4 linked regions of the Astyanax mexicanus genome follow. The main gene of each other region encodes a partner of the protein of the gene in region 4 in a complex. Links are inferred from orthologs where the notes say so. Each region holds a gene or a part of one and is shown on either strand. Other genes may lie near its edges.

Region 1 (7,772 bases), on a different chromosome or scaffold from region 4:
CACTTATTTTAACAGTTTTATTTACTTAATTCAATTATTTTCTACATTGTAGAAACAATTAAGGGACAGATTTGGAATTAGGTAGTAAACAGTAAAAACAAACGTGTTTGGCCCCCACAAGAAGGGTGATTTGGGGTTGTTTAGCACCTCTAGGATCTCCTTCAAGTTGTTAAGAAGACTATCCCAGGTGACTCTACCTCAGGAAAAAGCTCAGATTAAATTACAAAGAGTGTGTAGACTTTCTGAATTTGGCTACTTTTAAATGGTATTGTATGTAAAAATCTTACTGTGTTTAACTTTTTATTAAAGGTTTCAGTGTTATGAAGAAAACATGTCGTGATTAATCGCAGCAGATGTGTGGTTGGTTAGTGTGTATACACACAGACGCGTGGAGGACTGATGATGGTGTTAATGTGAATATCTGGCTCAGAATCGACACATGTTCTCAGTCTGTTCCACTTCTCCAGACTCCAGCGCTCCACACAGCGCAGCCTGCAGACACCGACCCGCAGCTGGGCGGCTGTTCTGCTATAAAAGTCTTCAAACCGGCTTAAAAACAAAGCCCAAGTTCTCAGACTGTACCTCTCTACTACTCTTAACACATCAGCGCTTAAATAAGGTCCGTGTTTTCCCGCATTTCACAGAATTGTGCTGTAAACCCGAACCAGCACCCGTACATTCATTACGCTGCTTGAACCCGCGCTGCTGGCTAGCATGTTAGCTAACGTGCTAAATGCGCGTTCACGACTCTTCCGGCGATTCTACAACAGCAGTTGCAGTATTTATCCACTACGCGGAATTATTCTACACACAAACTCTCCATTAATTCTCCATCACTCTATTCTTCTTTTTCCTTCATGCCGTATCTTCTGTGTGATTTGCGAATTATTTTATGATTATTGTTATTATATTAATTTTAATTCTCTCTCACCTTGGGCTTCTCGTCCGCCATCGTTATTGTGTGTTATTTCTCGCCGCCCGCACAAAGAGACTCCCGCCGTGCACGCGCACGTACACGCGCTCGTACGCGCGCAACCCTCCCCTCCCCTCCCCCCATCATCGCCATTCTAGAGCATTCGTGCGCGCGCTCGACACCCCCTCGTTTCACAGCCACAGCGGCTGGGGCGCGACCACGGGCGAACGTGCGCGCACCCGCTCTGTACGGCAGGATGGTTGCTGAGGGGCGCGAGCGGCGACGTCACGAATGCGCGAAACCTGTACAGAATGTCGGTGGTGCGCATCGCTCGTGCACGCGCACGCCATGTTTTCAGACGAATTTACTGCAAATTCGTGTTAAATGTTGAAAATACTGCGCGTTTATGATCATAGAGAGCAATGAACACGTGGGTGTGTGTGAGAGAGAGGTTTATGTGTGTGAGGTTTAGATGTGTAAGGTGGTTTAGATGTGTGTGAGGTTTAGGTGTGTGTGGGGGTGGTTTAAGTGTGTGAGGTTTAAATGTGTGTGTGAGGCTGAGGTGTGTGTTAGGAGTGTGTGAGGTTTAAATGTGTGTGAGGTTACTGTTTGTGTGGGGGTGGTTTAGGTATGTGTGAGGTTTATGTGTTAGGTGGTTTAACTGTGTGGGCTTTTTGTGTATTGGGGTGGTTTGTGTGTGAGGTTTACGTGTGTGTGGTTTAGGTGTTTGTAAGGTTAGGGTGTGTAAGGTAGTTTAGGTGTTTGTGAGGTTAGGGTGTGAGTGTGTGAGGAAGTTTAGATGTATGTGAGGTTAGGGTGTGTGTTTTTTAGGTGTAAGAGATTAGGGTGTGTGAGGTAGTTTAGGTGTGTGTGAGGAAGTTTAGGTGTGTGTTTTTTAGGTGTAAGAGATTAGGGTGTGTGAGGTAGTTAAGGTGTGTGTTTTTGTAGGTGTGTTAGGTAGTTTAGGTGGTGTTTGTGAGGCTAGGGTATATTTTAAGGTATAAAAGGTTAGGGTGTGTGAGGTAGTTTAGGTGTGTGTTATTTTTAGGTGTAAGAGGTTAGGATGTGAGAGTGGGTTTTAGGTGTGTGAGGTAGTGTGTTTGGTGCGTGTGAGGGGTGGTTTAAGTGTGTGAGGGGGTCTAGGCGTGTGAGGTTTAGTAGGTATGTGGGGTGGTTTAGGCATGTGAAATTTGTGTGTTAGGGGTCATTTAAGTGTAGGTTTGTGTGTTAGGTGTGATGTAGGTGTGTGTGAGGGGGTTAAAGTGTGGAGGTGGCTGGTTTAGGTGCATCTGAGGTTTAGGTGTGTGAGGTTACTGTTTGTGTGAGGGGTGGTTTAGGTGTGTAAGGTGGTTAGAGTGTGGAGGGTGGTGGTTTAGGTGTGTGAGGTTTTATGTATGATTTAGGAGTGTGTGAGGTTATTGTTTGCGTGAAGGGTGGTTTAGGTGTGGGATGTTTATGTGTGGGGGTGGTTTAGATAAGTGTGAGGTTCATGTGTGTAAGATGGTTTAACTGTGGGCTTTTTGTGTGTTGGTGTGGTTTAGATGTGTGAGGGGGTTTTGGTCTGTTTTAGCAGTGTGTTAGGTGTGTGGTTTAGATGTGTGAGGGGGTTGTGGTTTGGGTGTGTGGTTTAGATGTGTCTGGTTTAGTTTAGGTATGTTAGTGGATTTAGGGGGGTGTTAGTGGGGTTCAGGTGTGTAAGGTTTAGGTGTGTTGGGTGGTGCAGGTGTGTGTTAGGGGTGGTTTAGGTATGTAAGGTCGTTAAAGTGTGTGTGGTTTAGGTGTGTGCGGGGAGTTAGGTCTGTTAAGAGTGGTTTAGGTGTGTGCGGGGATTTAGGTCTGTTAGGAGTGGTTTAGGTATGTGCGGGGAGTTAGGTCTGTTAGGAGTGGTTTAGGTGTGTGCGGGGATTTAGGTCTGTTAGGAGTGGTTTAGGTGTGTGCGGGGAGTTAGGTCTGTTAAGAGTGGTTTAGGTGCATGAGGGGGTTGTGGTCACTGTTAGGAGTGGTTAGATGTGTGTTGGGGATTTAGGTGTGTATAAGGGATGGTTTATGTGTGTAAGAGGAATGGGTTATGTGTGTGAGAGGGGGTTAGGTGTCAGGGGTGGTTTATATGTGTGTGAGGGGAAATTTAGATGTGAGAGGGTGTTTAAGTGTGTAAGGGGAGGTTAAGATGGGAGAGGTTTAGGTGTGTGAGGAAGTTTAGGTGTGTGTGAGGTTAGGGTGTGTGTTTTTTTTAGGTGTAAGAGGTCAGGGTGTGTGAGGTAGTTTAGGTGTGTGTGAGGTTAGGGTGTGTGTTTTTTTTTAGGTGTAAGAGGTCAGGGTGTGTGAGGTAGTTTAGGTGTGTGTGAGGTTAGGGTGTGTGTTTTTTTTAGGTTTAAGAGTTTAGGGAGTGTATTTTTTAGGTGTTTGTAAGGTTAGGTTGTGTGAGGTAGTTTAGGTGTGTGTGAGGTTAGGGTGTGTGTGTGTTTCAGGTGTAAGTGGTTAGGGTGTGTAAGGTAGTTTAGGTGTGTGTCTTTCAGGTGTAAGTGGTTAGGGTGTGTAAGGTAGTTTAGGTGTGTGTTTTTTAGGTGTAAGTGGTTAGGGTGTGTGAGGTTAGGGTGTGTGTTTTTTAGGTGTAAGTGGTTAGGGTGTGTAAGGTAGTTTAGGTGTGTGTGAGGTTAGGGTGTGTGTTTTTTAGGTGTAAAAGGTTAGGGTGTGTGAGGTTAGAGTGTGTGTTTTTTAGGTGTAAGTGGTTTAGGTGTGTGAGGTTAGGGTGTGTGTTTTTTAGGTGTAAAGGGTTAGGGTGTGTGAGGTTAGGGTGTGTTTTTTTTAGGTGTAAGTGGTTAGGGTGTGTGAGGTTAGGGTGTGTGTTTTTTAGGTGTAAGTGGTTAGGGTGTGTGAGGTTAGAGTGTGTGTTTTTTAGGTGTAAGTGGTTAGGGTGTGTGAGGTTAGAGTGTGTGTTTTTTAGGTGTAACAGGTTAGGGTGTGTGAAGTAGTTTAGGTGTTTGTGAGGTTAGGATGTGAGGGTGGGTTTTAGGTGTGTGAGGTAATTTAGATTTGTGTGAGGTTAGGGTGTGTGTGTTTTTTAGGTGTAAGTGGTTAAGGTGTGTGAGGTTAGGGTGTGTGTTTTTTAGGTTTAAGTGGTTAGGGTGTGTGAGGGTGTGTGAGGTTAGAGTGTGTGTTTTTTAGGTGTAAGTGGTTAGGGTGTGTGAGGTCAGAGTGTGTGTTTTTTAGGTGTAAGTGGTTAGGGTGTGTGAGGTTAGAGTGTGTGTTTTTTAGGTGTAAGTGGTTAGGGTGTGTGAGGTTAGAGTGTGTGTTTTTTAGGTGTAAGTGGTTAGGGTGTGTGAGGTTAGAGTGTGTGTTTTTTAGGTGTAACAGGTTAGGGTGTGTGAAGTAGTTTAGGTGTTTGTGAGGTTAGGATGTGAGGGTGGGTTTTAGGTGTGTGAGGTAGTTTAGATTTGTGTGAGGTTAGGGTGTGTGTGTTTTTTAGGTGTAAGTGGTTAAGGTGTGTGAGGTTAGGGTGTTTGTTTTTAAGGTGTAAAGGGTTAGGGTGTGTGAGGTTAGTGTGTGTTTTTTAGGTGTAAGTGGTTAGGGTGTGTGAGGTTAGAGTGTGTGTTTTTTAGGTGTAAGTGGTTAAGGTGTGTGAGGTTAGGGTGTGTGTTTTTTAGGTGTAAGTGGTTAGGGTGTGTGAGGTTAGAGTGTGTGTTTTTTAGGTGTAAGTGGTTAAGGTGTGTGAGGTTAGGGTGTGTGTTTTTTAGGTGTAAGTGGTTAAGGTGTGTGAGGTTAGGGTGTGTTTTTTTAGGTGTAAGTGGTTAGGGTGTGTGAGGTTAGAGTGTGTGTTAGGTGTAACAGGTTAGGGTGTGTGAAGTAGTTTAGGTGTTTGTGAGGTTAGGATGTGAGGGTGGGTTTTAGGTGTGTGAGGTAGTTTAGATTTGTGTGAGGTTAGAGTCTCTTATGCTGTGGTACTTTTAGCCTTTACAGCACGTTGATATTTTTTCTGTCAAGGACCCAGTCTTGATACAAAAAACAGATTTGACATCACTGATAAAATCTGATACAAACCTCATGAACAGTTTGTAGCGTTTGGCTCAACAATGCACAAAAAACATAATTTTTCAGATTGTTCTGGCTACTGCAGTTGCACAGATCACCCTCCTCTGCTCTGGCACATCCAGCAAGCTGATTGGCTCTTTTTGTTGAAGGGCGAGACTTATCCATAAAGCAGCTGGGGTTGAGGGTTACTAGAACTCCCATTCCTATTCCAGTAAGTGGCTGGACTCCTCATTCAGCATGTCTGTCATCTGCCATTTTGACTGATAGCTAGCAATAACAACTTGTGCACAGTTCTAAATGGAAAATGTAAATATCTCTAATGGTGGAATGGGCGCTAATATGTTGGCTAGGTAGGTCTGTGGCTTTGTGTTGCCTTGTCAGTAGGCTCAGATTGTATAATGTACCAAGGAAAAAGTGAATTATAATGAAAAACACCTGAAAACTTTAAAGGCTGTAAATGTATGAATTCTAACAGCTGCTGAGCAGCCCATATCGATTTTAGCAGAACTCAACGGATCACCTTGGCTAAGCTAAGCTAAACTGGCTAAGTTAGTGCTAAATAAATCTACTAGTTTATTGACTCTGAGGTCCTAGTGATTTTTCTCTAAAGAAAGATGGTTAATTTTAACGGGAGTTTAATATTTTTGGATGCTGGTTAAGAAGTGAATTAACAGATCAAACTCTAAACTTAAGTTTCACACAAAATAACAGCACGTGCTCTTTAGTGTAGTTTAAAGTGTTTGGATATTGTGTTAATGATTTAAAGGCTTGTAACTACTGTTTAAAGGTGGGCTGATCATATCACTGTAATATGGCAAGCCAAATGGGTCAGAATTCGCCTGGGTCTGACGGCGCTTAAAGCGTGCGAAATACTTAAAAAACGCCGTCCAAAACGCCGTGCAGGGCTTACTTTTACGCCTTGGAACAAACGCGAGGCGCCGCCAGGCGTTTAAGAGCGTGTGGCGGCGCCAGGCGCTTACATAACGCCACCACGCGTTTTCATAACGCCTCCAGGCGTTCCATATGCAAAAACGGACAGAATATACATATCCCCTCCTTCTCCAAGCAGTTCAGCCCTCTGACTCTGTCAGGGAACTATATCTCCTGTTAAAATAAAAGCCCCCAAGTGCTTCAAATGTCTGCTGTGTTATTAGATGTGCTAGATTCATGTATTTCTGGCTAAACTGGGCTTTGCAAAATGTAGTCCCTGATTAAAACATAACAAAATGTAATCAAATGTACTTATTTTTTATCAACTCTTTCATTGCTGGCCTATTTAGTAATCATGTTTAATTTGTCTGATGCCGCAAGACCTGAGCCAGCCAACACACACACACACACACACTCTCTCTCGAAGGCATTGGGGATTTTAATAAAACGCGCAATACAGAGACCACCACAGCATACAGAATGAATGCATAAATTGAGAAATTAGGAAATCAACCGGACACACAAAATCCAGCAACACATTTAGCAGATCTGTGTAGAGATTCTATACGTTTTAGGGTCACTCTTAAAAAAAAAAACTGTTCACTATGAGATCGTAATATTCCGAATCATTCAGTATTCAAGGTATTCCTTAATTAAATTGTTTTTGATCATGGTACATCCTTATATTATTTTTTGCTTTCTTACTTTTTAAATAAAAGCCCTTTTTGTATCGCTGCCGCTCAAACGGGCAGCGTGGGTCTAAAATGAGCCACATTCATTTTCTATGCTACTTCAAGTATGGCTGTGGTTCTATGATATATTTTAGCAACGCATTAATTCCGTCGTTCAGAATTTAATTGACGAATTTATGAATGAGTGTTTCTTTTGCACAAATCTTAATTTTCATTCTCCTTACACAGGTTTACACACACGGGTCAGACACAACGCACATGAATTTACCATTTCACAGCTCAGCACAGCTCCCTCAGTACTGTTTTACGATAACATCACCTTAGAAAATATTTGATGCCACTAGTGAAAGATAACTGTATATAATATTTGATTAGGATTAGGTTACCATTAGAGTGAGAATATTACCTGTCAGAAAGTTACAAGTACGTATTATTAGATGTTGACATATTCTATTTTAGTTAGCTTAATATACTGTAGTACTTTGTAGGCCATTTAGCTACAGGGTGTGTTTATAATAATGTTCTTGGTGACAGTAACTGAAATATTTTATTAATTTAAAGAATAAACATTTTTAATAAAATAAATAGTACAGTCTAATATAGGATAATGGTAATAATAATAATAATAATAATAATAATAATAATAATAATAATAATAATAATAATAATAATAATAATAATAATAATATTGACATTATTTTGACATATTCTATTTTAGTTAGCATTCTGAATATTTTGTAGATTTTTTTAAAACTGCACACACACACACACTTTTATTATTACTATTATTATTATTAATATAATTTGATATTATTATTATTATTATTATTATTATTATTATTATTATTATTATTATTATATTGATATAATTATTATTATATTGAATTAATAAATTATTTAAACAAGCCCGGAGTGGCTAATCGGGAGGATTCCCGATGGGCCGGGGCGAGTTTGGGCCGGTTGGACGGAAAAAAATTATTTACCCTCACTTCTCTAATCTTATTCTTGCATTCATTGCCATTCAACTATGCACTCTCTATTCGTCTGACAACACAGCCCCTACGTCGGGTTTAACCATCTGAGGGAATTCTCCTCTCCCAAATGTTTGAGTTGGTTGCGTCCACCAGTGGTCTTTTCTGAAGCGATCAAATTAAATGCAGCAACAGAATAGCACAAAGCGTCAGACGACTGTGATGGAGGGTAAAAAG
Region 2 (7,781 bases), on a different chromosome or scaffold from region 4:
ATATAAATGTATGATACCAATCAGCTATAACATTAAAAACACTACCAGTGTTTTTCGCTAATTTATTAAAAAAGAAAAACTAAAATGTCACTTTGCTGTGACACTCATATTTAACATTTCTTCTGATCTTACTAGAGATGTCTCTTCTTCATTGGAGTCCAGATGTGTTCAGTTAAACTAATTGGACTTGATGAGGAAAGGCACACACCTGTCTATATAAGACCTCACAGCTCACAGTGCAGTCAGAGCAAATGAAAATCATTAGGCCGAAGGAACTGCCTAAGGAGCTCAGAGACAAAATTGTGGCGAGGCACAGATCTGGCCAAAGTTACAAAAGAATTTTGGCCGTATTCAAGGTTCCTAAGAGTACAGTGGCCTCCATAATCCTTGTATGGAAGACGTTTAGGAAGACCAGAACTGTTCCTAGACCTGGCTGTCCAGCCAAACTGAGCAATCATTGGAGAAGAGCCTTGGTGAAAGAGGTAAAGAAGAACCCAAAGATCACTGTGGCTGAGCTCCAGGGATGCAGTGGTATGTGTGGAGAAAACCAGGCACTACTCCTCACCTGCCCAATAGAACCCCAACAGCGAAACATGGTGGTGGCAGTATTATGCTATGAAGGTGTTTTTCAGCTACATGTACAGGATAACTGGTTGCAGATGAAGGCAGCCAAGTACAAGGAAAACATCTTCCAGAGTCCTCTGGGCCGAAGGTTCACCTTCCAACAAGACAATGACCCTAAGCACACACCTTAAATAACAAAGGAGTGGCTTCGGAACAGCTCTGTGACCATTCTTGATGACCTAAACCCAATTGAGCATCTCTGGAGAGACAGAGACCTGAAATTGTAAAAACTTGAGAAGATCTGCAAGGATGAATGGCAGAGGATCCCCAAATCCAGGTGTTAAAAACTTGTTAGATCATTCCCGAAAAGTCTCATGGCTGTTCTAGCTCAAAAGGGTGCCTTTACTCAATCTTGAGCAAAGGGTCTGAATACTTATGACCATGTAATATTTCAGATTTTCTTTTTTAATAAATTTGCAAAAATGTCTAAATTTCTTTCTATCAAGGTGGGGTGCTGAGTGTACATTAATGAAAATAAAGTAAAATGGCTGCAAAGAAACAAAGAGTGAAAATTTTAAAGGGGTCTGAATACTTTCCGTACCCACTGTATATATTAGGCGGGAACAGTTTGTTCTTAAAGTGGATGTGTTAAAGCAGGAAAAATGGACAAGCGTAAGAATCTGAGACACTTTAACAAAAACTAAACTTTAAAGTTCTAGACAATGCCTGGGTCAGAACATTTCCAGAACATCAAGCAGGTCTTGTGGGGTGTTCCTGGAATGCAGTGCTTAAACCCTGGCAAAAGTATCCAAGAAAAGACATTCACAATGGCATGAAAATATTATTTTAAATGTTCTCAGAAAGTTTTTTAGAACATTCCTTAAACATTCAGTTGTGAAGGTTAGTGAACATTTTCATAATTTTGGAAAGACGTTCTTATTAGGAAAAAAAGTAGCAACCTTCCCACAACCAAAATGGAACATTAGGAGAATATTCTGGAAATGTCTTTAAATGTTCTCAGAATGTTCTCAGAAATGGTCTGAAAATGTCCAAGTATAATCCAATTCCTTGAACAATAGATTGTCATTGTAAATGACACGTTGAGGTGACTTTCTGGGAACGTTCTCATAACTTTGGAAAAACATTTTGGGAATGTTACGAGGTAACATTCTACAAAGCTAAGCTAATTGTAGTTTAGATTACATTAACATGGAGCAGTCCCACAAACAAAGTGGAATGTTGGAGGAACATTCTGAGAATGTAATTTAAAATGTTTTGAAAACATTCTGAGGTACAACATTCCTAGTACAATACAGCATTTCTAGGACAATAAATTGCCATTGCAAGTAAGGTTGGGGTAAAATAACTTTAGAAAGACATTCTGGGAACATTAAGAATACTGGACATTAATCTGTTGCAAGTACAATGACATGCAACATTCCCACAACCAAAATGGAACTTTTTAAGAATGTAATTTTGAATGTTCTGACTAAGAATGTTCCTAGGATGTTAAACTATCATTGTAAATAAGGTTCAGATAATATTCTGGGAACATTAGTATGCAATATTCCCACATCCAGATATAAAATGTCCCAATACGTTTGTCCATATGGTGTGCACAAAGTACACACTGTTGTATTGATGATATAATAACTGAACAAATCCTCTACGGTGACACACTTCTGTGCATTTCAATACACAATTACTGTTTATTTGTTGAATTGAACAAATGATTAAAATATGAAATACTGTAAAATCTGGCATGTGCAAAGATTCTAATAGGTTAAATTCAGCACATGAACAGTAATTATGTATTAAAATGCACAGAAGCTTAGGGAAATATTTACACATTACTAATTCATTCAACAGCTCCACCAGCACAGAGGCCTAAATCTCATACCTGAGCGCCCTCTTGTGTCTGAGCACTCTGTTAAATTCCAGTGAGAGGCTCTCATTTCTGAATAGCAGTGTTATATAGAACAGTTGTGTGTCTGGGTGCCCTGGTGAGCTGGCATTGTGCTGTTTGTGAACTAAATCTGAATGAGTTTGATCCACACACTGATCCTGGATCCAACTATGTGGTAAATCCTACTATTCTCACAAATCCAGTTCAAGATCAGCTTCTGTTCACAGGGTTAGAGGGTCCCCAGGTAACAAAAAACATTATAAAAATGTTTAGATTAGACAACATTAACATAAGTTATTTGATCAAGTTTAATGCCTAATATCAGGTGTGGGCTAGAGGGTATAAAGCCCCTAGTATTGATCTGTGGAGCAGTGGAACTGTGTTCTCTGGAATGATGGAGCTCCATCTAATACTAATAGATGGGATAAGTTAAGGAGTTGGGGATTAGGTAGGGTGGTGATCATTCAACATCCTAACTCAGGGGTGTTCAAACTTTTTTTGTTGGGGGCCAGAAGGAGAAATATATTTGAAGTCACTTGCCACACTCCGTAATAAAACAAATAATGAAATATACCACTTTAAATAATACTTTTTTCCTGATTATTTCATTTACACACCATTTTACTTGACTTACTATCTTTATATTTGACAGTGTTGTGTAAACTAAGATTTTTTAAATTGATGTTTAATTTCTTGATTTCTCTTAAAATTAAACTCCTTAATTACGGCAACTTTTAGACTCTTTGGCCTGGTTTTCTGCGCTAGAAATGCGCACCCTCTCCGCTTTTAGACTCTTTGGCCCCGTTTTTCTGCGCTTGAAATTTGCACTCTCTCCGCTTTTAGACTCTTTGCCCCATTTTTCTGCGCTAGAAATGCGCACTCTCTCCACTTTTAGACTCTTTGGACTGTTTTTTCTGCGCTAGAAATGCGCACTCTCTCCGCTTTTAGACTCTTTGCCCCATTTTTCTGCGCCAGAAATGCGCACCCTCTCCGCTTTTAGACTCTTTGCCCCGTTTTTCTGCGCTAGAAATGCGCACCCTCTCCGCTTTTAGACTCTTTGGCCTGTTTTTTCTGCGCTAAAAATGCGCACTCTCTCCGCTTTTAGACTCTTTTGCCCCGTTTTTCTGTGCTTGAAATGCACACTCTTTCCGCTTTTAGACTCTTTTGCCCCGTTTTTCTGCGCTAGAAACGCGCACCCTCTCCACTTTTAGACTCTTTGCCCTGTTTTTCTGCGCTAAAACTTCACTCTCTCTGCTTTTAGACTCTTTGGCCCGTTTCTGACACCTAGCGTTCAAACTTAGGTTCTCACATTATAAAAACCTGCTTAACAGCGGGCCAACTTTCATTCTATTTCTAAAACACCTCGCGGGCCGCTCCATAAAAGGAAACGGGCCGCAAAAATATATATATATATATATATATATATATATATATATATATTAGGGGTGTCAACGTTAACGCACGCTGTTAATTTGTAATCAATAACGCGTTTTTTAACGCAAGTTAATTAAGGCGCCAAGTTCGACTCCTACTTCCGCCATAATCTGCCCCGCCCCTGCCCAGCACACTGATCTGTTTTCTGGCTGAACGACTGAACAGTCATACGGTGTCCAGCAGTAACACTCCGGTTCAGACTTCCAGCTCAGACCTGGTTAGAGTTCTCTCTCTCTCATATACTCTCTCATATAAGTTAATTACAGAATTTTGTTGTGATTAATCGGATTTTTTTTAATCGATTGACACCACTATGTGTGTGTGTGTATAGAGAGAGAGAGAGAGAGAGAGAGAGAGCGCTCTGGAAAAAAAAAAATTAAGAGACCACTTCAAAGTAATCAGTTTTTCTGATTTTGTTTTCTACAGGTTTATGTTTGAATAAAATGAACATTGTGGTTTTATTATATAAACTATTGATGACATTTCTTCCAAATTCCAAATAAAAATATTGTAATTTATTTGCAGAAAATGGGAAATGGTTAAAATAACGAAAAAGACGCAGATCTTTCAAACCTTACAGAAGTTCATATTTATTTAGAAACAGTAACAATGCTAAAGTTTTATCTAAGGAAAAGTTCAGAATCAATAATTTGTAGAATAACCATAATTACAGCTTTAATGTGTGTTGGCATTCTCGCCACAAGTCTTTCACACTGCCTTTGGGCGACTTTATGCTTTATGCCACTCAAAAATGGCTCAAAAATTCCAGCAGTTCAGCTTGGGTTGATGGTTTGTGATCATCCATCCATCTTCCTCTTGATTACATTCCATAGGTTTTCAGTGGGGTTGAGCTGGGGGCCGCTGGGGGCAGCAGAGAGCGGGAGCAGGTTGGAGTAAAAGCGGTGAAGGAGAGGAAGAAACAGAGAAGGCGCAAATCCCGCGGCACGAGCTCAGCATGGATTGGTAAATGAATCAATAATCAGTGATTAACAGCGCTGATATTATTATTAATCAGATTTATTAATATTTCGCCTCTCAAACTTAGATTACAACCACTGTACAGGCTGAGCTTCTGCACCAGTACCAAGTTAACTTAACTGTTAGCGATTAGCATGCAGTGCTAAGCTAACTAGCCTAATTGACTGTACTGTACTGTGGGTCTGAGCTCAGACTAATCATCACTGTTTATTTGTTTACTTATTTATCAGTCTGCATGTTTTACTCCTGTACTGCAGCTGTGCTGTGAAGGGGTCTGTATCCACCTAAAATCTGTAGCACTACAGAACTACAGCACAGAGCAGTAATTTCAGCTTTATAGAAGAAGCTGTCAGTTACAGATAGTTTAGATTAAAGTTGAGTTTTCTATAACTTATATTCCACTGATTGTAAATAATTGTTTCATATATAGTGATTGAGTAGAGTTTGGTGTATAACTAATTTAATATTCTGTGACTTTATTAATGTTAAATCTTTACAGCGAGAGGATCAGAATAGATGTAACGTTATTAGTTAAGTGGAATAAGTGACTCCTCATTCTATTATTATATGCAAGTTAAAGGGCCTATACCTGATTCTCGTTTGATATACAAACAGAAACATGTAGGGATTCACCTGATGTTGGGGAAATTAAATGGCTAATTTGGCCAAAAATGACACAAAACAGAAACACTTTCAGTGTTTTTGTTGTGCATTGTGGACATATCTGCTGGGATGTTAAAAATGTTAAGTGCTTAAGTGTTGAAGAGTAACTGTTTATTATACTTTGGGTGTATTGACAAATATCTTTCAGTTATGATTACTTATCTTAGTATCTATAATTACATAATCATTGTGTGAAACCTTGTATTTTATATGCATTAACCAATACTCACCTTACATTTGATCATTTTTACTCACAGTGTATTTTACACGCAATTATATAGAAGATTAACCAATAATCACAATATATTCTTTACATATATAGTAAAACATTGTTTGATCAGGCATGTGACTAACACAGACTCTATTATATGACAAATTAACCCACATGATACATAAGGCATTTACTAACACATAGGATTTATTATATGGCGGACTAACCACGCGTTACTAACACATTAACATATAACATATGAAATCTATTGTGTGACTATTGCGTAGCTCATGCTTGAAGCATTTCGTTCACTGCATGACCCTAACTAACGGTCATCAACTCGACTGGTACACTCGGTAAGAGACTACATTTCTACAGAGGAGGCTTTTAGATCAAAGCGGCCTTCTGTGTGTGGGGGAACCTGCAGCGGCTTCAAAGAGGGGGGTGACGCACACTCACACAGATAGTGCCACGATGTTCCATTCTGGAAGAACACAGTCAAGGCCAAACACTAGTGGTCCGGTCAGACCTGTGAAACTTGAGTACTAACACGTGAAATTATGCATATTAACATGAGCTAATCGTTAGCAACGCCTCATCAGCAGGTTTCACGTCATTTGGGGTATAAAACATGGAGTCAGATCAGAGGGGGGTCAGAACTTATGCTGGGACGGCTGTTAGACGGTCTTTCATGTGTGGGTTCTCCTGAATATTCAGTACTTTGTAATAAATACTTGGTTTGCTTTCAACTTCACTCCACCTGTCTGACTCTCTCTATCAAACGAACACGCAGGGGAGTTGTACCCCGGTCGAGAGGGAGGTGTTGACCCACCTTTCATTTTCTTTTCTACAACAGTGTTCATACATATTCGTAAATTTTAGGTTTGTTATTGCTTTTGACTTTTAATTAAAAGCCTGTATCACACTTTTTTATGTATTTAATTTGTTCTGTAATTGACATTTGACATTTTGGTTTTGGATTTAAAATGAATATTTTAGCCAAAAATGGCAAAATACAAAACTCTTTAGGTGTTCAGCTGAATAAGCCTGAATATTTTTTTCTGAGTGTAAAATTTTAATAAATATTTTTAAGTTGTAAATTTAGGACAAAATATATTCAGACAATTTAATTAATTAATTAAAACCTGTGAATAAATGTTTTATTTATTTATTTGTTCTTTGACCAATTGATAATTTTGGTATTGTTTGTTTTGGTTTGGTTTTATCCAAAAATGTTCACTTTGGTACAACCTTACATAAAATTGAACAGACCTTGCAACAGATTTTATATAAGGCTGCAAAGTCATTTATATGGACAGCAGTGAGGATTGTGCATATTCAAATTTGAACACTGTTACTGTAGAGCATACTGGAAATAGCATTCATCAAAAATAGAGAAGTTTTGTTTGCCAATACATAGACCCTGTAAGTAAAAATATTTTTGGCAGCTTGGGAGTGCTAGGACCTGTTTCCTTAAATCAGGGTGTTAAGATCATGTGAACTGGTCAAGAGAGTTATGATTTGATCCATTTTTTGCTTTTGAGATGCTTTTTAGATCTTAAAATCTGTACAGTTCAGTGTAATATTGATGTTGCCACCATATGCATTATATTAGTAATATATTCGATAATAATTTGCAGATCCAAATGCTTATGTATTTTCCCTGTTGTTTTCTTGTAGGAGCCAGAACTGGTTGAACTCTCCTGTTGTTCGAGACTCGGAGGTGACTCGAGCCGCACGCAGGAAAAGCTCACACAAAAAGGTGGCCTGTATCCTTACCTAAATTTACTGGACTTTGGCTGCTCAGATTGCAGAGCCTGCAGCTGAAGTGACCACTTGCTTTATTTTTCCACTTGGTTAGATTTTGTATAAATCTCTTATCCTCCAGAGCTCATGCAGTCAAACCTCTGCCATGAACCCTCGTCTCAATATTTCTCATCAGGTGTTAAATGTGTCTTGCAAGACTTTAAGTTTGCTTTGTGTGTTTCAATTCTTTACACCATCACTTCCCCAACCTCACTTACT
Region 3 (7,092 bases), on a different chromosome or scaffold from region 4:
CACACAGCACAATGGAAAAGACCACCATGGACTCCACCAAGACCGGGTCTGTCTGCATGATTGTGCGATATGGGTGTGCGTACTAGAATTGGAGAAGTTTCCTAGGACTTCCTAGAATGTAGCACTTGCTTCAAGACTTTGCAGCTTTTAGATCTGTCAAAGTCTCATTTGTTTAGAGTTCAGCATCCCCAGTGCATTCCGCTCCACCTTCTACCAGCATTCAGGACCTGAAAGAGACACATCAAAACAGATCTCTGGTTAGAACCACACAAACCATTCCCTTTAGCATGTTAGCAGCTTTAGCTTGTAATGATGTAAATGGTGTAAAATGCAATCTTCAGGCTAGCATTTTTTAAATGTATTAACGATCTACAGTTAAATTTACACTTATCATTCCTGTAAGCCAGTTATCAATTATCAATTATTATGCTTTAGCATGTTTTTGTAACAGGTCTTGTGTAAAAAAAATTGCTAATGAATTTGCAGCTAGCATAGCATTAGCAACATTTATATCATCTTTAATCATTGTGAAACTGAGTCTTTAGGCAGAGAGCCTTCAGGAGCAGGCAGATTGACAGAGTCAGGCGTGACAATCGTAGTATAAGCTGAAGTAACATATTTCCATGTAAATATAATGTTGGACAATATAGACTTAATTTTAAAATCACAACATATGTCTTAATTTCAGTCAAAAATATATAATTCCGATATCAATATGAACAGCATAAAAGCCAAGGTCATTAGTGTACACAATCACGCAATGATTAAGCTGGGCGATATGGCAAAATATTATGTCACAGTATTAAAAGATAATCTTATGATGCATAGTATTTATCGTGTTTTGATTGAATTGCTGAAAAAATGCACCAGGAGTGGCAGATTCTTAAAAAACTTTATTGAAACCAGCAACTTTACAGGAGAGGAAAAACCTTCTAAACTTTTAATGGAAGTCAATGTAAAAAGAGTATATTCCAGGTCATCTGAAGAGTTTCTATTGGTCCGTTCATCAAGAAATTTTGGCACGGTATAAGGGGCAGTTTGTCTGATCAAATTATGTAGTAAACTAAAAATCAACAAAAATTGATTGTGTTTTTCATTGGACAGCGGCGATATTCAGATACTTTTTCATGCAGAGTACAGTGATTTATGTACAATTTCTGCTGCACATGATTCAATTTACCAGTATATTTACACTCTCTGTAATGAAATGTGCAGTTGTTCTTTAATCAAGGGATCATTGTCTTAAAACAGTGATGATAGCCTCTAAAGAAGGATATATTTATCACAGTACAATTTACTGTAAATGTAAGTTTTGCATACAACAGTAAATAATTTACTACAGGTCTTAAAGGCTAGATTTTATATCATAATGTAGTTTTACTTTTTTTTAGCAGCTAGCTTAGCACTGACAGCCTCTATAAAAATATATCATGTTAAGACCCACATTCTTTCATTCCCATTCAATTTTAATATGTGGGAATGTGTGATACAACAGTGGCAGTTCTGTGGTTCAGCAATGCCTGTAACCATCACTGCTCCCTGGTTACTTAATATCACAATATAACTCGATAGTTATACTTGCGTAACAAAATTTTCTTTATCATTTTTATTACAGGTTATATTATAAGAGGAGTCACGCAGTACAAATACTTTGTTACCTTACTTTTGAAATTTGGATTATCTATACTTTACTGGAGTAATTATTTTTCATATGTATATGAAAAATCATTTGTATATTATCATAATAGGTTATTAAGTTTCCTTTTCATTGTTGTCAATAGTCTTTCAATAAGTGAAAATTTACAGCAGCATGTTAGCAGCTAGCTTAGCTATAGTAAACACTGCTGTTCCTATTACTTCGGAGGTCATAAGTCATGAGTTGGTACCAATCCACTTAAAATTTAAATAATTACACTATTGTACACTATTTATACCACGCTATCTCATTGCTAACGTTTTGATTGACCAGGCCCTATAATTTACCCAGTTCTGTGCCTAATCTGCACCCTAATTTTGGGTTTTTTTAAGCCTACATTATCAGGGAAAACCAACAGGAAGTTGTTGTAACGATCAGGCAGATACCAAACTCAGATGACTCAACTCTGAACTGTAGCAGCTGAACTTTAGCACAGTTACCGGAGCACATTTAGAACTCCAGATTTGAGGTCTAAAAGCTCTGAATCTGTTTGTTATTTCACATGAGGGCTGGGAGGTTAATCTAATTCATTTGATTAATCGAATTACTGTTTTAAAGGGATTTTCAAAATGGGTTAATCAAGATATCCTTAATTAATAAAGCTGCCAGAGGGAATCTCAGTAGATAGAAATTTGCTTATGTCAGAAACCTTTAAAGAACTCTTTTACGTGGCAGTAATTTTCCTATTTTACACTTTTCCTTAATTGAAATACCAGGACGATATGTTGTCACTTTGTTTAAAATATAAAAGCTGCATAAATGAAATTATTTATATATATATATATATATATATATATATATATATATATATATATATATATATATATATATATATATATATGAAATTTAGCTTGAGCATCACTTTAAATTGTACTGTCTGTTTAAAAATAAAACAACTGAAGTTGTTATGTAAAAGAAAAAAATCGAGAGTAAGAAATAAAAAAATTGTTCAAATACTTGAAGAATATCAAGATTATTATAACTATTTTTTACAATATCGCTCAGCCCTAATTATAGTACAGTCTGTGCAAACACAGTGCTATAGTATTACACTGTAATTAATAATACATTAGTTTGGAGTAACAGGCAGAAAAGGTCTTCTGAGGATTTCTCTAGCCTACCTTAACGTTTTGACAAACCTTCAACTCAAAAAAATCACAGGGGCACATCAAATACTAAAAAAAAAACATACATCTGAATGGTTATAGATTAGTTATTGCTAAACAAAATACAGCTCTGGAAATAATAAGAGACCACTTAAAATGATGAGTTTTTACCAAATTTAAAAACTCTGGAATATAATCAAGAGGAAGATGGATGATCACAAGCCATCAAACCAAGCCGACCTGCTTGATTTTTTGCACCAGAAGTGGCATAAATTTATTCAAAAGCAGTGTGTAAGACTGGTGGAGGAGAACATGCCAAGATGCATGAAAACTGTGATTAAAAACCACAGTTATTCCACCAAATACTGATCCCTGAACTCCTAACATTTTTAAGAGTGTTTTCTTTGCATTATTCAGAATTATTCAGAAACTGAAGTGGTCTCTTAATTTTTACTAGACATTTTAGCTAAATAGATACTAAACAGACTGGCTATGCCTTAGCTAGCTGGTGGATCCATTCACCCAACACTGTGCATACATTTGGAATGGCAAATCTTTGGGCAGTGGACCATTTTACATTAAAACAGTGTTTTGGATAACACTGTTCACATTTTACACTAAGACTAAACCATACAGACGTATTGATAAACAATTGGAGTTCTCCTTTAAGGTGATTAGCTTTGCGTATAAATACAGTATCCAATACAAGGGCAGGTTAGCACCCAGTCATGCCCACATGCTGTATAAAGCTGCAGATACATAAAGATGGATATGAGCAGAAACCTGCTGAATATGAAACATGGATTTCGGGATACAAAAAAAAAAAACGAACCAGACTGATCAGTCTGATTGATCTGATCAGTGGCCGAGAGGTGGTGAACAGCCTTTGTTGGGGCCATTATGATGATCTGCCCCTCTGGAAGCAGCAGCAGAACCTCCACGAAGGACAAGAAGCGAGAACATCCACATCATACAGATACAGATCATACAGAGACAAACACGACCAGCCTTACCGGAGACCCGAGGGGAGAGGATCTGTCCGCGTTTCACCGCTACCGAGATCTTTGCTGATGATATGTGATCGATGTCGAGCTCCGAACACGGGTGGGGGGGCGGCCATATTTGACAGCTGGGTCACGTGGGATGAAGCATTATTATTATTATTTTTTTGTTTTATTTGGAAAACACTTTTAACAATTTAAAAATTATTAATATCACCAGACAAATTATATTTATAGGGGTTTCGATTTAATAATATTAATATTTTTCAAAACATCACGAAATTTAACGAATAATGTCACGTGAGCAAACGCCGCGCTCTCATTGGTCACAGTACGGCGGCGAAGATGGCGGAGTCGGAGATGTGTGCGAGGTAAATGAAAGAAACATTAACTTTTAGTGTTTAAATTAATTAAATATAAGCTGTTAACATTTTCATTCAAGTTGTTTAATCATATACGGTTTATTCACAGGCAAGCGAGGAGCGGAGAGCGCTCTGTTCTTCATTTTAACGCTTTTTTTTAGGTTAATAGTCAGGGACGCGGTGGGAGCATGTTGTTATGTGGCCGCGCTGAAATAACGTTAGCATGAATGCTAAAAGCGGCGTCTGTGTTAATAGAACAATATAAAACACGAATTAAACAGATTTAAGAGTTAAGACAAGCCTTTTAGGACTTTACACGACTAAAAAAAACCAAGGCAGTGTACTCCGGAGGCGTTGTTTAAACTGTGCGGATAGTTTATATCTTTCTGAGTTGGGTTGGCTGAGTAGCAGCGCTGATAACTTCACTAACTTCTGATTTTGGCGCTTTAAACCCTCAGCTAGGCTCAGGGCTTCACAGCCGGGCTGAAACACTGTGGTAAACATTGAGAAACAACATAATATGATGAGGTTTTGATTGTGGTAGCTTATCCAGCAGTGCTGGTGAATACAACCGGTGCTCTGTCGATTTGTGCTGCCTTGTCAATTCATGCTAACTAACACAATACATATTTATAGGTTATGCTGCCTCAATAAACCAGCAGGTAGGGTAGTTTAGCCAAATGTGTGACTAGAGTAGCACTGCTGAGGTAAATGCACTGTGCTGTGTTGGCATGTCAATAAATGTTCTATAAATTATAAACTATTTATTGGAAATCAAGGCAAAAATACACACGGTCTATAATGGTAAAGTGTCAAATAAAATAATAAAAACCCGAGGAAAATGTTTAATTTCGTTGCATCCCTAGTTAATACTAATATTCATAATAAATAAAGATTTGTGATGCTTTAGAGACGTGTATACTGCCTGTTTACAAATCACAAAAACAATATTGTCATTTTAATGTTTTACACCATGTTTAATACAAAACCTGCATGTAGTTTTGTATAAAAAAAGAAATAAAATAAATAATTAGAATTTAAATGTAAATGAAACAATAATTTGGTGTTTGTTTAAAAATAAAGTTATGTAAGAACTAAAAATTGTAATCGAGAATCACTCATATATTTAAATAATATTTTTTTTCAATATTGCCCAGCTCTAGTTTCAGTAGATCTATGTTTTTTAACGCGTTAATTTAAAAAAAGGTTTTCAAGTTTAAAAATGTTTTCAAACTATGACTTGTTTGTGTAGAAATCAGTTCGCTAAATAAATGTACAACTACAAAATGTGAAAATAATTCTTAGGAGACACATTTAATTTAGAATACATTAAAGTACATAAGCAGTTAAGTGTCCAGATTGTACAAACTGTACTAAGTGTTTTAAGTGAGTTACCATCTACATGGCACACTGAAAGCTGAAGTGTTTCACTGAGAATAAATTTATATACAGACTGTGTTTTGATTTGTAGGAGTAGTCGGGAGTTGTGGACCATCTTACTTGGAAGATCTGCTTTGCGGGAACCGGTAACTTAAATTTTTATGAACATTTATTTACATATACATTTATCATACCAAAAAAAAAAAAACAATTGTTTAGATTGAAAATCACTCATTTAGTTCCACTGGCACGTGTCAACATATTAAGCAGCAAGTGACGACCAGTTTTTGAAGACGATGTGTTGAAGCAGGAAAAAATGTAAAGAAAAAGTGTAAGAATCCTAAGGGCCAGATTGTGATGAGTACATGATTTAGGTCAGTACATTTTAAAAAGCAGCAAGGTATTTAGGATTTGCATTGGTCAGTACTTACTAAAAGTGCTTCAAGGAAAGACAAGTTCATGGGTGTTTATGGCTCATAGATGTTCATGAAGGTTACATAAAGGATCTTCTGCAATACACAATATTTAAGAGTAAATATAATATTGTGTCTGATGTGTGTTCGTGTGTGTCTGGCATTTTGTTAATTAAACCATCTTATTTTTCCTCTGCTGTATGATATAAAAGGCCCAGATAGAAGCAGAATTGGAGAGAAATGGAGAACGGCTGCTGCAGGGCCTTTCCTACTACAAACCACCTAGGTAAGCAAATGCAAGCCCACATTGTTTATTATAATACACAGGTTGGTAGACAGATATAGATCATTATTAATACTCAAATAATCTTTTTAATATTCCGTAAGTAGACATTTGTTTTGCATAGGCCTGTTAGTTATGTTTATTTTTTTTTAGCTGTGGTCAGTCAGTAGTTATGTATTTTAATTAGTGAAACACTGTTTTTTTCTGTTCAGTTCTTCATCAGCAGACAAGCTGAAAGTGAATAAAGATGTGGCTCAAACTCTTAAAGACTTTGCACTTCGCATCAGCAAATTACTGGTAAGTAAAGCAACTTCTTTTGCACCATAATGACACTATACTACAATGCAGTATACAGAAGAGTGATGAGGAAGAGCTCAGTTTAAAGTTGCATATAGACCAGGTGCCTGAATTATGACCATTTGTCTCATTTGAGGAAGGTTGTGAAAATAAATTATATTTTTGTTTTTTTAAAGAAGCCAGTGCTTAATTCAGTATTTGCTCCAGTAAAACTGATCATTCTGAATCTATTACAGTATATATGTGTAAACTATGTAGTAAAATGTGAGTGCTTTTTAAAAGCGGCACAATACAGAACAGTAAAAGGATATTCTAAAGGATAAAAAGGGTTTAAAAAATTGTTGTATGAAATTATGCTTTGACTATTGTGGTATGTGAGTGGAATTCAGAGAATAGTGTAAAATATGTGACCTTTAATAAATGAGTGTGTCTGTTTGCCCCAGGGTCTTGATGAACAGCAGAGTGTGCAGATTCTGCAGTGTTACCTGCAAGAGGACTACAGAGGGACTCGTAACACACTAAAGACAGTACTGCAGGATGAGAGACAGAGCCAA
Region 4 (7,719 bases):
TACTCAACGTCATAGCTGCTGTCATGGATTTTAGGCCTGCATCTGCCTGTTTTGACCTAATCCATGTGTATGAGTTTTCTCATAAATCCTATGTGTGTGTGGCCTGTTTCCTCTCTGCAGGGGCCTGGCACCTCAGAACAAGCCCGAGCTGCAGAAAGTGATGGAGAAGAGGAAGAGAGACCAGGTGCTGAAAGCTCAGAAGGAAGAGCAGGAAGCTCATAAGAAGCAATCAGATTTGGAAATTGAGCTCATGAAGAGACAACAAAAACTTGAACAGGTACATACACGCCAGATCACTGGAACAAACTGTTTTACTTTATCCTTTATGTTACAGTGTTATAAATGAGTATAAATCAAAAATGTTCTTGCGTCAATTCTACAGGCAGTCTGACATTCCAGCATACTGCATGGAGATCTACCACTAGTCTACTACTAAACTTTTAAACTACAAATAGATCTTGGCAAAACAAATACACTTTTGCGTTCCCATGAGCACACAAGTGTACACCTCATTTAATATCCCATGACTTTATGCATTTCAGTGTACATTCTGTTGCTATTTTAAAGAACCTTGTATCTCAAAATTTGTAGGTTTTTCATGATAAATAATCCAATAAAAATGTTTAAAAATTATTTTAGAAAGACTTCCATTTTTTTTCTTTTTCTCATTTAAAGTTGCCATTTTTGGAGTTTTATTGTGACAGCAGTGCAGAGTGTGTCTGGATTGTCGGGTGTCACAGTCTAGTGAAAGTTCTTAGCGCTCTTATTGAAGTAGTACAGTAGATGGGGTTACTTCCTGGGTGAACCCCTTTTTCCACAATGCATAACACAAACTACAACCAAGAAACCCAACATGCAGATGTTCAGACTGTAAAACATCTTTCTGTGTATTTGTGTCTGTAGCTGGAGTTGGAGCAGCAGAAGAATGAGGAGGAGCAGGAGAACACCCCGGAATTTGTTAAAATGAAGAGCAATCTAAGAAGAACCAAGCAGGAGGTGGACGAACAGGAGCGCACCACCTAGACACACTATGGGGGGTTTAAACGAGTCCATGGCACATGAAAGCATGGCAACCGGACTGCAGATTTGTGGGGATTCCCTGGTGTTCCTGCTCCCTGTGTTCCTGTGAAAACCGTGAATGGTTCCTATTGCCGACCTGCAGACACGACCAGTATTCACTTACCCTAACCCCTAAACACCGGCAGCAAACAGAGGGATTGAAATGAAAAATGCGCACTCAGACACAAAGGCACAGTCTCCCCGTCACTGGCTGGTTGGCTGGATGGCGGGCTTTGGTGGACTTACATGGCAGGACGGACAGAACACACGCAGAGTTTTTCCAATTCGTTTTCTATCTCTCTCTTTCTTTAGCTTATCTTTATTTTTATTTTTTCTGCTGTTTCTTGTTTTCTTTTTTAACTTATTTTCAGAAATTCAAGTTTAGAGGGACACTGGATGGACTTGTGCAAGCCTAAATAAGTGTTTGTTTTTTTCAGTTTTGCCTTGGAATGATGCTGATGATGAGGGGTTTTATGAGGACTTTATACCCTCCTTTTGGTTGATGATCAGAAAAAAAGAAAGAAAAAAATATGAATATGGATTCTCAACAGTTCAACCTTTGGCTGTGATGTACAGATGTTTGCTTTATTTTGTTGTTTTAATCTTCATATCTGTGCACTCCTTCTAAGCTACATCTATTTTAAGCAATACTAGAACTAGGTTGGTGTGTTTTTGAATATTTTTGTTTTTCTTTTTTTACAAATAAATTTGTTATAAATACAGTTTAGTTGCAATGGTGTAGAACACTGTGTTGAGGCACTCTTGTATTTTTTTCCACACCTGAGTAGTAATTGTTGAGTGCAATCAGGAAGGTCTAGGAAAGAAATGCATTTTTTGTTAGTTCAGTATTGAAGACTCACAGTCTAATGTATAGATTTGAGCCAATGCCCAACCACTCGTGCTCCCTTTAATTCAGAAAAACTTCTTTTAATAAATATTATTTTGTCATGTTGATGATGTGATGTTTGTCTTATTTCCACCCACTCAGATCATTCACAAAGACCTGAATATAAACAGTAAAACCTAAACAGAGGCTGGAGTCCAGTACATGTACTGATACAAATCTGTCAGGTAACCATAATTCTGCATCACGTAAAGCATTCAGCCAACATAAAGCCACTTTCAACAGTAGAGTAAGTCTTAAATTGCCCTTACAGCCTTCAAAACTGAGGCCAGGCAGCAGCACCACAGGTAAGGGAGCCGGGGGGGAATGACTACACCTTGATGGTAAGTAAAAGTGGGGAAAGACATACCCAGTATGCAAATAGAGTTAAAGGAAAAGGTTTATTGTCTCATCAAGGTTGCACCATCAAAATATAAGACAGTCTTAAGGTGACCATATGTAACTACAACAATTTGGCAACTGCAGTCAGTATAGCTCTATTGAATCAGCTCAGTTAACTTTGTGTATTGTGTATCTCAACCGTTCTTTTTATCAGCTTAAGCGGTACCAAATTTCTCATTTGTGTTAACTTTAATAATTTAAGTAATTAAAAAGGACAATTATATGTCATGTATAGAAGCCCAGCAGTGAGTAGCTTAGGACCACAAGCCGGTGAGCAACATCTTAGTACTTTAACTGCTGAGCCAGTACTGCAGAAGAAGTAGACCTTTGGACACTAAACATGTCTCGTGAACAGAAGAGAAATGTTTAACTTGTAGTTGCTAAACCTTCCTTTTGGATGCTTGTCAAAAAGTGCTTTTTAAATACCCTAGGTGGCACCATTGTGTAAGTTCCACAGTGCTGCAATCAGAGACGATACCCACTTCAGAATCCATCTAATGTTCTTTTGATTATTAGACTACTTAAGTAAATATGCCTTATCCAACTCTTCCATAAAGATGTAAATATGAAGGTTAAAAAATGTTCCCTTTCAATGATGTAAAATTTTAATACATCTATTGTTTATGGCTTTATCTTCTCAATGCTTCTTTTTACTGCATTCTTCAGTTTCACTTTCACAGAAACGAGTCTTGTTAATGCACTTACTTTGACACATAAATGAAACTTGGCTGGATTAATTAATGGTGTTCATAATATACAGTACCAGTCAAAAGTTTGGACACACCTCTTTTCATTCAATGTGTTTATTATTATTTTTTTACATTGTAAATTTAATATTGAAAACATTACAGCTAGTATATTTATACTTCTAGATTATGGATTCTTCTAAGTAGCACATTTATCTTTGAGGACAGATCTGCACACTTTGTATTTTACTCTCACGTCTTTATGAGGGAGAGTCACCTGGAATAGTTTTCTCAGTGTCTTGAAGGAGTTTTTGGAAGTGCTGAACAATAGTTGCTGCTTTTTACCCATCTCACTGTTTTGATGTCTGTAATATTAATCAACAATGTAGAAAATTAATTAAAGAAAAACATTGAATGAGAAGGTGTGTTCAAACGTTTGGCTGGTACTGTATTGATATGTATTTACTTATCTTAGGTCTATGGCTTATTTAAAGTACAGATCTTTTAAGTATTAAACCTTTATGGCATGTATAATATATTTCATATGTTATATGGGAGCTTGAGAGTCCTAAACAATTTTATTTATTTTGTCTTTTATAATAAACATATCATTTGCATCAGATGTTTTAGAGCAAGAATACAAAAACATTTAAAGTTATTTATATATTATATGTTATTTATAACATACATAACCCTTTCAAACCCTGCGTGCATAACAATAGACATCCAATATTTTATTTTTTTGTAGACCTGTTGTCCATCAAAATAGACCATTAATCAGCCAAAGAAAAGGTTTACAACCCAATGAAACAGCAGCCCCGCCCACTGCACTGGAAAAAACACCGCAACCCAGACATTAGGGATTGGCAGCACTAGAGCCAGTGAAAAAGTATGATAAACTAATTTTAACAGATTTTATGTCATTTACATAACTTTTTATCATGTTTATTGCACTGTTTGGAGATTGTGTGTGAAATATTAAAGGCATGGTGTACTAACCAAAAATTGGGTAACACAATAAGGGTACCTAAATTAACAGTACTTATGACGGAATGCCTCAAACAATTATTATCTGACACTAGTTAAGACATTACTCATCATTACATTTTTTTAAATAATTATTAATAATTATTTTAAAAATAAGCAATACATTTTAAATAATTTAATAATGTTTAATAATGTCTTAACTAGTGTCAAATAATAATTAGTTGGGACATAATCATTTATCATTTATAATGCCATAAATACTATTTGTGACCCTACACAAGCCTGTATTCAGAAAAGATTCATATTGGATTCACATCAATGACTCAGTGAGTCAAATAGATGAATCAGTCGTTTAATTTGCTTCGATCTAGCAGAAGCTCAATTTTGTCCAGTAAATTAAACTGTAGTCTGAAGATGAGTGTTTAATATTACATTTATTGGAAACTGAACATGAAGGTGATTAAAATTAATTCAGTTTGAGATTAATTTACAAAATTAACTTCAAAATCCTCTTAAAACTACAAACCGCCATTTCGACACTTGGACTCCCGGTTAATCGCCTGAGAGAAAATCGATTTCGAAAAACTATAATTTGTTTCACACTTATTTTTAAGAAGGTGTAATTGAGCATGTTTAAAAAAGAATAGAGAGTTTAAAGTATAGAACCATCTCCTGCTTGGCACGCAGTGATCCGAAACCGTATATAATTTTCAGTCTGGCGATAAGCCGGGAGGCTGCGGCTGGGCTGGTGGTGGTGGAGCAGACATGGCTGCGCAGATGGCGGTAAATTCAGGTACGGAGCTCATGTGCTGGTTATTCAACACTCCTCAGGGCTGTGTGTGTTTGTAGTTTGTTTATTATAACAGTCTGTAAAGCTGTGGGATCGGTTTAGGGAGATTCATGAGCGACTGAAGCTGCATATGAAGGCAGTTCTGCCTGTTTCTTGAGTTCAGTTTGGTTCCATTACCCGGTGTTGTGTCGAGTTATGCTACCCAGCTATACAAGCCTCCTAAAGAGACTGCGCATGCGTTAACCTACATCTTTTTAATGATTTCTCGTGTGTTTTATAATAATTCTGTTTTTGTTGTGTATTTAACAACCAGTACTCACTGTCACTACACAAGTGTATTTGCAAGTAATAATAATAATAATAATAATAATAATAAAAGATTATAAAAAACACAAGCAAGATTATAAAAAACTCACATTACCATAACTTTACACTGATACAGTGAATTATGCTGTTCAAAAAAAGTAACGTTACATCGACTTCTGCTGTGAACATGTTATAATTTTGTGCCTTTTTGGCATTTTTACGTTTAAATAAGTTATACTAAAAAGGGTAGCACGGTTTTACAGGGTAGCACAACTCGACAGAACACCGGGGTTAGCTGTTAAGCTGTTAAACAGCGCTGTTCTCATAATTATCAGCCTCCTACAGTCAAATAAACACAGTTATTCACCAACACGCCTATTATACTCACCTCTATCCACGTCTAAACTAACAGAATTCCCCGGCTTTTGTTAACAGCAACCCCCTGAATATAGCCTAGATATATCTGGCGGCTGGTTACTAACGCAAGCTTAGCTTGGCTCAGTCTGGTGTAAAAAATACTTTCGCTCTTAGTTAACTAAATAATGCTCAAAGTTCAGAGAACTGAGTCTGCGTCTAACAGCACCCAGATAACTTTTTAAACACCATCATCTGGTTTAATATAACAGGTGATTTTGTTGTGAGCAGGAATCGACAGAACTCTCTGGCCTCAGAATTAAACTAATTGTAGCTAATGCTAATTGTTTTCATTATTCCACTACAGAATAGTTAAATGACCTAGGTTAGCGTTACAGGCCTGCAAATCTGAAACAGTAAGTCCCTAAATATAAGGATGGAAAAATAGTTTTTGGAGAAACCAAAGTACCCTTTCTAAACTAATAGATTATTCAGTTAAAGACGAACATCACTAAAGGGAGAGAATGTTTTAATATAATTTGGAGAAGGGAATTGTTTGTTAAACTGAGGGAAAGGTTTGTTAATTTGATGGAACTGTTTGTTAAATAGAGAGGAACAGTTTGTTAAATTGAAGAAACTGTAGAATTGAATGTAAGGTTTGTAGAATTGAGGCAACTGTTAAATTAAAGAAGCTGTGGTAAATTGAAGAAACCGTTTGTTAAACTCACAAACTAAGGGAACAGTTTGTTAAATTGAAGAAACTGTGTATAATTAAGGGAAAGTTTGTTAAATTGAAGTAACTTTTTTTAAATTGAGGGAACAGTTTTTGGTAAATTGAGGCAACTGTTAAATTAAAGAAATGGTTTAAATTGAGGGGACTTTTTGTTAAATTGAGGGAACTGTTTGTTAATTTGAGAACTTTTTGTTAAATTGAGGGAACCGTTTGTTAAATTGAGGGAACTGTTTGTTAATTTGAGAACTTTTTGTTAAATTGAGGGAACCGTTTGTTAAATTGAGGGAACTGTTTGTTAATTTGAGAACTTTTTGTTAAATTGAGGGAACCGTTTGTTAAATTGAGGGAACTGTTTGTTAATTTGAGAACTTTTTGTTAAATTGAGGGAACTGTTTGTTAATTTGAGGGAACAGTTTGTAAATTGAAGGAATTGTTAAATTGAGGGAACGGTTTGTTAAATTGAGGGAATGATTTGTTAAATTGAGGGAACTGTTTGCTAAATGGAGGAAACTGTGTTTAATTGAGGAAACTGTTTGTTAAATTGAAGGAATTGTTAAATTGAGGGAACAGTTTGTTAAATTGAAGGAATTGTTAAATTGAGGGAACGATTTGTTAAATTGAGGGAACAATTTGTTAAATTGAGGAAACTGTTTGTTAAACTGAAGGAACTGTTAAATTAAAGGAACAGTTTATTAAATTGAAGGAATTGTTTGTTAATTTAAAGAAACTGTAAAATTGAGGGAATGTTTTTAAATTAAAGAAACAGTTTGTTAAATTGAGGTAATAAACTGCTAAATTGAGAGAACAGACAGATAGATTATGAGAGAAAAATGAAAAAATATTTAGTAGCTTCAGGAAATGCTTGATGTCTACTAATGTTTTTACAGTAATTTTAACAAAGTTATTGGGCAGTTGGTTACCTTTCTTAGATTCTAGCAGACTGACTAGAAGAGTGTGTGTATGTTGTGTGATTTATATAATGCATGAATTATGCCATAGTATATGTAATGCAGAATTTTGTTTAGTATAAAGCAGTTAAAGGCCTTGACTTGATAAGGCACACATTCCCAAAGTGTATTTCTGTAATTCTTTATTAGTCCACTATTTAGTAATCTTTTTTTAAGTCATATAGGATTATTGTTTTTGTTTTTTATTTATTCATCTGCTAAATAAATACCTGTAGAATTTGTAACAGTATACACTTTGTTTAGCTCTGTGAAGTTGTGCTTGCTATGCCTATTGTGTATTAGAGACCTTTCTTTTGTGGTATTCTTACAGTATAACTGAGAAAGTGTTGTTACATGTTGGTTTACGGCTTGTGTGGATGTATTTCCTGTGCAGGAGCCAGTCTGTGGGGTCCACTGAAAGAGTTATGGGAGACTGTGGAGGGCTCAATATGGAGGAAACAACCAGAAAGTGTTCATCTTCTGGATTTGCAGTTGAAAAAAAACAAGCCCTACTTTCTGTCTTTGTTCAAAAACCCGGTACAGTACAGTGTTGAAGATTTTCCCTTAGGCTG

The links. Proteins that work in one complex are often made in the same cells at the same time.
Region 1: the proteins of nup205 (region 4) and nup85 are in contact, whole or in part, in a cryo-EM structure (PDB 7TDZ), measured with the Xenopus laevis proteins. The link is inferred for Astyanax mexicanus from reciprocal best matches to the Homo sapiens genes NUP205 and NUP85. Residues at the interface, in XP_041443600.1 of Xenopus laevis: Glu1477, Cys1480, Arg1481, Cys1484, Asp1485, Ser1517, Gly1518, Tyr1519, Leu1520, Lys1521, Val1522, Val1524, Asp1525, Ser1574, Gly1575, Gln1582, Gln1638, Gly1641, Gln1642, Gln1645, Val1648, Leu1690, Asp1691, Ile1692, Gly1693, Leu1694, Asn1695, Asp1696, Gly1697, Ser1698; in XP_041431608.1 of Xenopus laevis: Ala86, Glu87, Glu88, Ala89, Ser90, Gly91, Lys92, Ser93, Arg94, Lys95, Pro156, Pro239, Met240, Gly245, Thr246, Gln247, Thr248, Leu249, Thr250, Glu251, Phe252, Glu253, Leu254, Lys255, Trp256, Gln257, His258, Trp259, Pro315.
Region 2: the proteins of nup205 (region 4) and nup107 are in contact, whole or in part, in a cryo-EM structure (PDB 7WB4), measured with the Xenopus laevis proteins. The link is inferred for Astyanax mexicanus from reciprocal best matches to the Homo sapiens genes NUP205 and NUP107. Residues at the interface, in XP_041443600.1 of Xenopus laevis: Gly1247, Gln1248, Arg1249, Pro1250, Ser1458, Arg1506, Gln1507, Leu1983, His1991, Gln1995; in NP_001091312.1 of Xenopus laevis: Gln134, Glu136, Pro189, Tyr282, Tyr283, Gln770, Ser772, Phe773, Thr774.
Region 3: nup205 (region 4) and nup188 share a complex: the UniProt entries of both Homo sapiens proteins name them as parts of the nuclear pore complex. The link is inferred for Astyanax mexicanus from reciprocal best matches to the Homo sapiens genes NUP205 and NUP188.

The regions. Positions count from the first base shown.
Region 1 is NC_064410.1:17,649,903-17,657,674, forward strand, and holds the start of nup85 (nuclear pore complex protein Nup85), read left to right. Parts: upstream 1-4,754; 5' UTR 4,755-5,153; intron 5,154-5,202; exon of another isoform or gene 5,203-5,292; intron 5,293-7,772. Other genes in the region: sumo2b (small ubiquitin-related modifier 2), read right to left, coding at 932-952. UniProt on the Homo sapiens protein: Essential component of the nuclear pore complex (NPC) that seems to be required for NPC assembly and maintenance. As part of the NPC Nup107-160 subcomplex plays a role in RNA export and in tethering NUP96/Nup98 and NUP153 to the nucleus.
Region 2 is NC_064409.1:23,502,999-23,510,779, reverse strand, and holds the start of nup107 (nuclear pore complex protein Nup107), read left to right. Parts: upstream 1-4,763; 5' UTR 4,764-4,859; coding exon 4,860-4,867; intron 4,868-7,436; coding exon 7,437-7,525; intron 7,526-7,781. UniProt on the Homo sapiens protein: Plays a role in the nuclear pore complex (NPC) assembly and/or maintenance. Required for the assembly of peripheral proteins into the NPC. May anchor NUP62 to the NPC. Involved in nephrogenesis.
Region 3 is NC_064424.1:26,879,659-26,886,750, reverse strand, and holds the start of nup188 (nucleoporin NUP188), read left to right. Parts: upstream 1-4,074; 5' UTR 4,075-4,148; coding exon 4,149-4,174; intron 4,175-5,636; coding exon 5,637-5,691; intron 5,692-6,170; coding exon 6,171-6,244; intron 6,245-6,453; coding exon 6,454-6,538; intron 6,539-6,981; coding exon 6,982-7,092. Other genes in the region: dolk (dolichol kinase), read right to left, coding at 1-58. UniProt on the Homo sapiens protein: Component of the nuclear pore complex (NPC), a complex required for the trafficking across the nuclear envelope. Required for proper protein transport into the nucleus.
Region 4 is NC_064416.1:18,026,265-18,033,983, forward strand, and holds the start of nup205 (nuclear pore complex protein Nup205), read left to right. Parts: upstream 1-4,705; 5' UTR 4,706-4,782; coding exon 4,783-4,810; intron 4,811-7,541; coding exon 7,542-7,684; intron 7,685-7,719. Other genes in the region: protein FAM107B, read left to right, coding at 121-277, 904-1,023. UniProt on the Homo sapiens protein: Plays a role in the nuclear pore complex (NPC) assembly and/or maintenance. May anchor NUP62 and other nucleoporins, but not NUP153 and TPR, to the NPC.